2 linked regions of the Xenopus tropicalis genome follow. The protein of the gene in region 1 interacts with the protein of each later gene in a pairwise test. Links are inferred from orthologs where the notes say so. Each region holds a gene or a part of one and is shown on either strand. Other genes may lie near its edges.

Region 1 (3,734 bases):
ACCCACAACAACAAAAAAAAAATGTGCAGGAAGAAGCTGTGAAGACCCAAAGACAACAGTGACAGAAGGAGCCAAGGAAACCCGAAGGAAGCCAAAAAGACCTGAAGACGAGCAGGACACTTAAAGACACAGCGGGACATTTCAGTAAGTATCTGGGACAGCGGGACGGTGTGCAAAAATGGGACATCTGGGGGTGTGGCCATATAGTGGGCGCGGCAAAATATTTTTTCCCTCTTTTTCGTTTTCAAATGTTGGGAGGTATGGCCTAGGGCCCAACGATTGGGGGATGCCAGGCAGGAGCCTCTCCTGCCTACCCCATGTCATTGCCCCATTGCCCCAGCCGCTTGTCATTACGCGGTGGGGGCAATGATCCATCGCATCGCACCCCGAGGTTGCCTAGGGCGCCTGGTCGCCTCGGCCCGCCCCTGAACAGGACCCCAAAACTCCCAGAAATGTGTTCAAACTTTAAATAATCTGCCAAATTTAGTCAAATGTGAGTGGTGTTTAGGGGGTGTGGCTGCAAAAAAATGGCCATGGTCAAAAAATCATTTATTTTTGTCCCTCTTTCCCTTTTCAAAATGTTGGGAGGTGAGATACTGAGTCAGTCTCAAACTGAGGGGGGGGAGTGATTGCTTAGACCTATAGCTTCAAGGAACCTTCATTATAATAATCAACAAAATGAAGAATCGCTATAAAAAATACATCTAAACACTAGTATTTATTATTGAAGCCAGTGGCGCAATATTATGCCCCAGCAAGAGACACATTCCGGGCCTGTGTATTCGTGCGTAACCCGGAACCAAAGTGCCGCGCCTGCGGTGTCCCACGGATTCCTGTCCCCCAGCAGAGTGTTCCGGAGACATGCCTCCATCCGGGAGGGCGGATTATCTCTATTTTTACGTTAAATCGGAAGAGTGGGATCGTGATCTTGGGACCTTTACAGTGTGATGGTTGGTGTGTGAGTGGGACTGAGCCGTACGTACCCTGTGCGTTACACAGCTATTATGTTGCTTTGGGCCCGGGGGTAGGGCTACACTGGCACCACTTCCCTGCCCGCTCCGGGCTCTCTCATTATCACACTGCCCCAATTATAGATTCTTTTCTACTCGTTTGATTCGCAGAAGAATCACAAAGCTGCCTTTTTATTTTGCATAAAATCTGATATATATTTCTATTACTGCAGCCAGATGAAGATGTTACTAGAGTAAAACCGAGGTCCCATTTTTATTTTTGGAACCCACCTACATGGAAGAAGGATTGAGGGAGGCTGCTGCTTTGGGGGATTTGGAAGAGGTGCAGAAGCTGCTGAGATGTGGGGCCAATGTTAATTCACAGAATGAAATCAATGGCTGGTAAGTGGCACCCCCAACCCCCATCTTGTTGTTTATATGGGGGTGGGGAATTGGTTCTGGAAGTGTAAGTTCTCCCTGCAGGGTAGCATGGCTCCAGTAGATGGGTATTCAGGTAGGCACAGTGGGACAAATATAGGGTCCTGTTAGTACTTGGGCACTCCTAGGCAGTTTGGGTGATGGGTGTTATTATGATATATACATATATATATATATATATATACATACACATACATACAAGAACAAATGGAGCACACCCTATACAAGATCAAAAGCCCTGAGTGCTGGCAAAAATAAATCCGATGTTTCGAGCACTAACGGTGCTCTTCCTCAGGGTTCGTGCTCGAAACGTCAGATCTTTTTCAATAAATACTTTATTTATATATAAATATATATATTTATATACAAAAAAGTTCTCACGACCGCACCTCACTCCAAAATGCTAATAAATAGCTGCCCATGTGCACGGAATACAAAATAAAACACAGCCAGCACCAAGGGTCTTATAGTTCAAAACAATCTCAAGTGTATTGCATGTATAACCAATAATACATGCAATACACTTGAGATTGTTTGAACTATAAGACCCTTGGTGCTGGCTGTGCTATATAAAAGAGCAATAAAGGCCAGCACTCACGGGACTTTTAAGAAAATATTGTGTCAGCAAAAATAAATGGTATACAAAAATTGTCTACATGGTTTTTTATATATATATATATATATATATATAACAAAATAAATATAGGGGGTCTGATAGCTATCTGACTAAGGGTCCCCATACACGGTAAGATCGCCAAGCGAGCGGATCTTCCCCCGATATCCCCACCTACAGGTCGGCGATATCGGGGAGCTCGAAGTTAAAAAAATAAAAATAAAAAATAGGCGATTATATAGGCGGCAATGTATCAGTCGGTTCGGGGACCGCATCAACGAGCCGATGCGGCCCCCGATCCGACTGAATCTTTTAACCTGGCCGATCGATAGCTGGCCAATTTCAGGCCAGATATCGGTCGGCCAGTCTGCTCGTTTCTGCCCCTACACGGGCAGATAAGCTGCCGAGTCGGCCCAAGGGACCCATATCGGCAGCTATTATCGGCCCGTGTATGGGGGCCTTTAAGCATCAAATGGACCTTTTCTACTCTCATCACAGATTTCTGCTTCAACCAAGCCAGAACCCTGCAGAGGTATGGAGGAGAAAATTAACAAAGCAACCATCCAGGATTTTGCTTTAAAGGGGTTGTTAACCTTCAAAATAATTTTTATAATAACATAAAGGGTGCTGTTCTGAGACAATTTGCAATTGGTCTTCATTTTCTAATATTTGTGTTTTTTTAATTGCTTTTTGTTCAGCAGCCCTTCAGCTGGGAATTTCAGCAACTATCTAGTTGCTAGGGTCCAATATAACTTAGCAACCAAGCAGTGGTTTGACAGAAAGACAGAAATATGAATAGGAGAGGGGCTGAATAGAAAAATAAGTCATAAAACGTAACGATAACAATAAAACTGGAGCCTCACAGAGCAATAGTTTTTTGGCCCCCATTTAAAATCTGGAAAGCTTAAAAAATATATAAAAAATGTAGACCAATTGTAAGAATAGGCCATTCTATAACATACTAAAAGTTAACCTGAAGGTGATCCACCCATTTAATTAAAGTTATCCATTATTAAGTATATATCTCTGTCCTTGTTCCTTATCCCTCTGCGCCATTGCTCTAAATCATAGCTGATTATATGCAGTGGGCAAATTATATATGATATTGCAGGTTTAAGGGCTGGATTACATTAAAAAGATAATATACAGTAAGGTCTGTGGAGCTTTTAGGCAGCCTGGGAGCCATAAAAATCCACTCAGAGGCCTCCCGTTGGATGGCCCTGCTCTAAATGATAATGTACCATTCGGGTAAAGGGTAACCGATCCGGTATTGTCCACTGGCTCTGACTTGCAGCATGGCTCCAGTGCTTTTGGCATGCACATATATGGGTTTAATAGCCAGACTCCCAGATGGATATTTTCATATCTCTTTATGGCAGTAGTGTTTTGGGGGGACCCATTCTCTTTGGGCCTGATGAAGGAAACATGGAAACATTGCTGCAATAAATGTAGGAGCAGGGACGGCACAGAGTTACTCTTTCTGTAAATTTTTAGGGATCGGCACTCCACTAAGGCTCAACTTTGTAGCTGCCTTTCCACCCTGCCTCCCTGCACTCACCCCAGTTATCAAGTGGCCCCAGTGGCTTCTACCCCAACTCCCAGAGTAGCATTGCCCCTCCCAGTATCCCTCAGGCTCTTGACTGGCATCCCACCCACACTCCTTGATGATGTCACTCACAGCTAAAGACACCCAGGGCGGCTTTCAGTATAGTACTGGTATAACCCAGCTGTTC
Region 2 (3,756 bases), about 5.4 Mb from region 1:
AATTAACATGTCAGGGAGGAACAATTGGGCAGGGGGAGCGCCGGAAAGGGTCGGACTGGGCCACCGGGATTTTTCCCCGCGGCCCAGTCCGACCCTGCATATGAATCAACCAGGGAAAGTTCCATTAAATCACATTACAAGTAGTGATAGATTCCGGGGTGTCAGCAGGTGACAAAACACCACCTGTCCCATTAGGGGGAAGACACACAGAGATACTAGCAGCAGCTACTTTTTCAGGGCTACTAAACTCCAGAAAATCCCCTGCCATAGACAATACTGAGAATTACCTCTGCTAAAACACACAGAGACCATTTTCAGTAAATGATCAGCATTGTCTATTTTAGTAGCCACGACAAGTAGCTGCTACTAGTAGCTCCATGTGTCTTCACCCATAGTGTAAGGCTTCAGACTAAACCAAGTTTATTAATGGCGCCCCCTGGTTATATAACTAAGGATAACACCACTAACAAGCCATAAAGTTGGAACTGCATTTATCCCTGAACGCTCTGTACCCAGAATGCCCTCAGCTCGGTATAACGCTCCGTTAATAATGATTAATTATCAGCAGAGCAGCAGATCTCCGGGCACCTTTGCCCACACGCTACATTGCGTCATCCGCTGCCAAAGTTCACTTTACTGAGGCCAATTGCATGATGAAGGAAAGAGACGCCATTCATTCGCTAAACACGCCCCCTTTGTTTGTGATTGGCTACTCTGCTTAGCTGTCAAGCGGCGGGGAAGCCGCTGATACGAGTCAGGCGCACTGCGCCCCGCCTCTTTACTGCCCTATAAGGTGCAGAGCGGGTTATTCTTAAAGGGGACGCAGCAGCCCGCCCACTCTTCTTCTCCTGGCTCTTACCGTGAGATCTCCCTCCTCTTCACCATGTCTGACAAACTGTCCTACAAAGTCGGTAAGGAGGGAAAATCTTCGCGGGGGGCGTCTTGCTGCAACTTGATGTAGGGGGGCTGGGTGCTGCTGGGTTGTTTTTAGATGAATCAGTGCCCAGCCTGGCTGTAATTGCCCCTGCATGGCCAAAGCATGGACCAATGGGGGGGGGGGGAGGCATTATATCTTGCCTAGCCATAATAATAATAATTTTCTATATCTGAGGGGTATAAAAGGGGGTATTTATTGGCCATACACAGCTTAGTTGGTGTTAATGGGGCAGCTGTCAGATGTTGCCCCTAGCTGTGATGATTGGGGGTAGGTGTTATGTCATTATGCCTGGCACAGGGTCTGATTGGTGCACAGAGAGGGCAGATCAGTTGCCTTGGTTTAACCCTATTATTATTATTATTATTATTATTATTATTATTATTAATAACCCTGGGCCAAAAGGTGTGTAAATAGCTGGCACTGTGGTGCTAATTGTTAGTACATAGGTAATATTATTTCATGCCATTCAACCCTCCTATATAGCTGACAACTATGGGGGGCATTTGTAATTGTGTTATAATACATGTGTACTGCATCTATCATCTGTGTATTTTGGCAGCTTTTGCTCATTAAATTAGAAATGGCATTGCTTCTTCACTGTGTGTTCTAATGACAGTAAAACCTTAATAAATGTCATTTATACCCAGTAAATCCTAATGTTCCTGCACACACACTAATTGCTTTATATAACTGTCCCCTGTACATGTGTCGATCTGCAGCACTGCGAGTGCCCCGGGGCCACGGATCTCATAATCTCAGCATGGCTTTGCTCAGCCTCATTCTAATTGCAGGCAGTTCTTTTGCCCAAATCAGCAAACTCCAGGCTGCTGGGAGTTGTAGTTCAGGGAGGGGAGTGCCGTGCTGCTGTGGAGCGGTTGGCGGAACTACAAATTCCAGCTGTCAGTGCTCCATGGCTGCTTCCGTAAGCTGCCACATGTTGTAACAGGAGATTTGCAGAGTTCCATAGAGCAGGCGGAAGATATTGCAGCATGTAACATCTCTTCTGTATAGGGGGGCAGTGACTGTTGGTCAGGTTTTGGAGGTGCAGCATAAACCTTAATTGATATAAAATCTGTGAATGTACATTTGTGGTGTGTACGTAATGCTGCTTCTATAATAAACACTCTTATACACTTATTTGGAAGTGCTGAGTTAGAATGAAATCTCTAATACACTTTAATGAAGGATTAGAAGTCTGTTTTCTGATGAAAGCTTTGGGGCCATCACCCCCAAACTTACAGACCCCCCCCCCCATCATGCACTAGAAATCTTCAAATTGTATTGCGTAAGTTCTCCTTAAATAGGATCTGTATTCTGATGGAAGGAGGAGCTAAAAAGAAAAATGGCTGCCCTCCAGCAGTTTTTACCTGATGTTAAGTCAGGGCTGGGAAATCCTGATAGAGACATGGGAATTCTACAAGCTGCTCTTGCATATCACATGTATTTTAGCATAACTGTTCAAGGCGATAGTGATAAGGACAACAAAAGCATAACTACAACTCCCATAATCCATAAGCATAGCATTCAGGGTCAAGGTATCCCTATGTTTACTTTTTTACATTGTACAGTACAGTCATGCAAGTAGTTCTGCAACATCTGGGGACCCATGGTTATGGCTTTAATGCTGATGCTGCTACTTGTAACTGGCCAGAAAGGGGTTCCATTGTTTCCTATGATGCGGGTAGTATATTGTCCCCCCTCTTCCTATTAAATCAGCCACAAACCTACCTCCCTCCCTCCCTCCCTGACATAAGCCCTACACAGACATGTTAACAATCTGCCACCCATTGAACTGGGAGTTGATCACAATGGTTTTGGTTTTTGACATGTCTACTTTACCAACTTAGAGACTAGATAGTACAGGTATGGGATCTGTTATCCAGAATGCTCGGGACCTGGGGTTTTCCGGATAAGGGATTTTTCCGTAATTTGGTTCTCCATAACTTAAGTTTGTTAAAAATAATTTAACCATGAAATAAACCCAATAGGGCTGTTCTGCCCCCAATAAGGGATAATTATATCTTAGTTGGGATCAAGTACAGGTACTGTTTTATTATTACAGAGAAAAGGGAATCATTTAACCATTAAATAACCCCAATAGGACTGTTCTGCCCCCAATAAGGGGTAATTATATCTTAGTTGGGATCAAGTACAGATACTGTTTTATTATTACAGAGAAAAGGGAATCATTTAACCATTAAATAAACCCAATAGGGCTGTTCTGCCCCCAATAAGGGGTAATTATATCTTAGTTGGGATCAAGTACAGGTACTGTTTTATTATTACAGAGAAAAGGGAATCATTTAACCATTAAATAAACCCAATAGGGCTGTTCTGCCCCCAATAAGGGGTAATTATATCTTAGTTGGGATCAAGTACAGGTACTGTTTTATTATTACAGAGAAAAGGGAATCATTTAACCATTAAATAAACCCAATAGGGCTGTTCTGCCCCCAATAAGGGGTAATTATATCTTAGTTGGGATCAAGTACATGTACTGTTTTATTATTACAGAGAAAAGGGAATCATTTTTAAAAATAATAATTATTTTCTTATAATGGAGTCTATGGGAGATGGCCATAATTTGTAACTTTTTGGATAACGAGTTTTCGGATAATGGATCCCATACCTGTACAATCCAAGGATTTCATTTGTAATCTTCATAAGTTATTTCTTCTTTATTGAGAGGGTTTCTGCTTAGCAAAGCGGTATGGTATCTCCCACCTGTGCACGTGTGCATTTTGTGCCCTGGCTGTTTATTCATGGGGCGGGTTAGGGCTGTAGTGGGTTCTTCTATTCCAGGTCCTGGTATACAGGTG

Evidence for each region.
Region 2: the proteins of ankrd40 (region 1) and ahcy interact in binary tests that used the Homo sapiens proteins (3 or more experiments, as listed by UniProt). The two-hybrid records come from large-scale screens. The link is inferred for Xenopus tropicalis from reciprocal best matches to the Homo sapiens genes ANKRD40 and AHCY.

The regions. Positions count from the first base shown.
Region 1 is NC_030686.2:46,623,204-46,626,937, forward strand, and holds the start of ankrd40 (ankyrin repeat domain-containing protein 40), read left to right. Parts: upstream 1-878; 5' UTR 879-950; exon of another isoform or gene 951-1,183; 5' UTR 1,184-1,245; coding exon 1,246-1,352; intron 1,353-3,734.
Region 2 is NC_030686.2:41,230,393-41,234,148, forward strand, and holds the start of ahcy (adenosylhomocysteinase), read left to right. Parts: upstream 1-861; 5' UTR 862-883; coding exon 884-911; intron 912-3,756. UniProt on the Homo sapiens protein: Catalyzes the hydrolysis of S-adenosyl-L-homocysteine to form adenosine and homocysteine. Binds copper ions.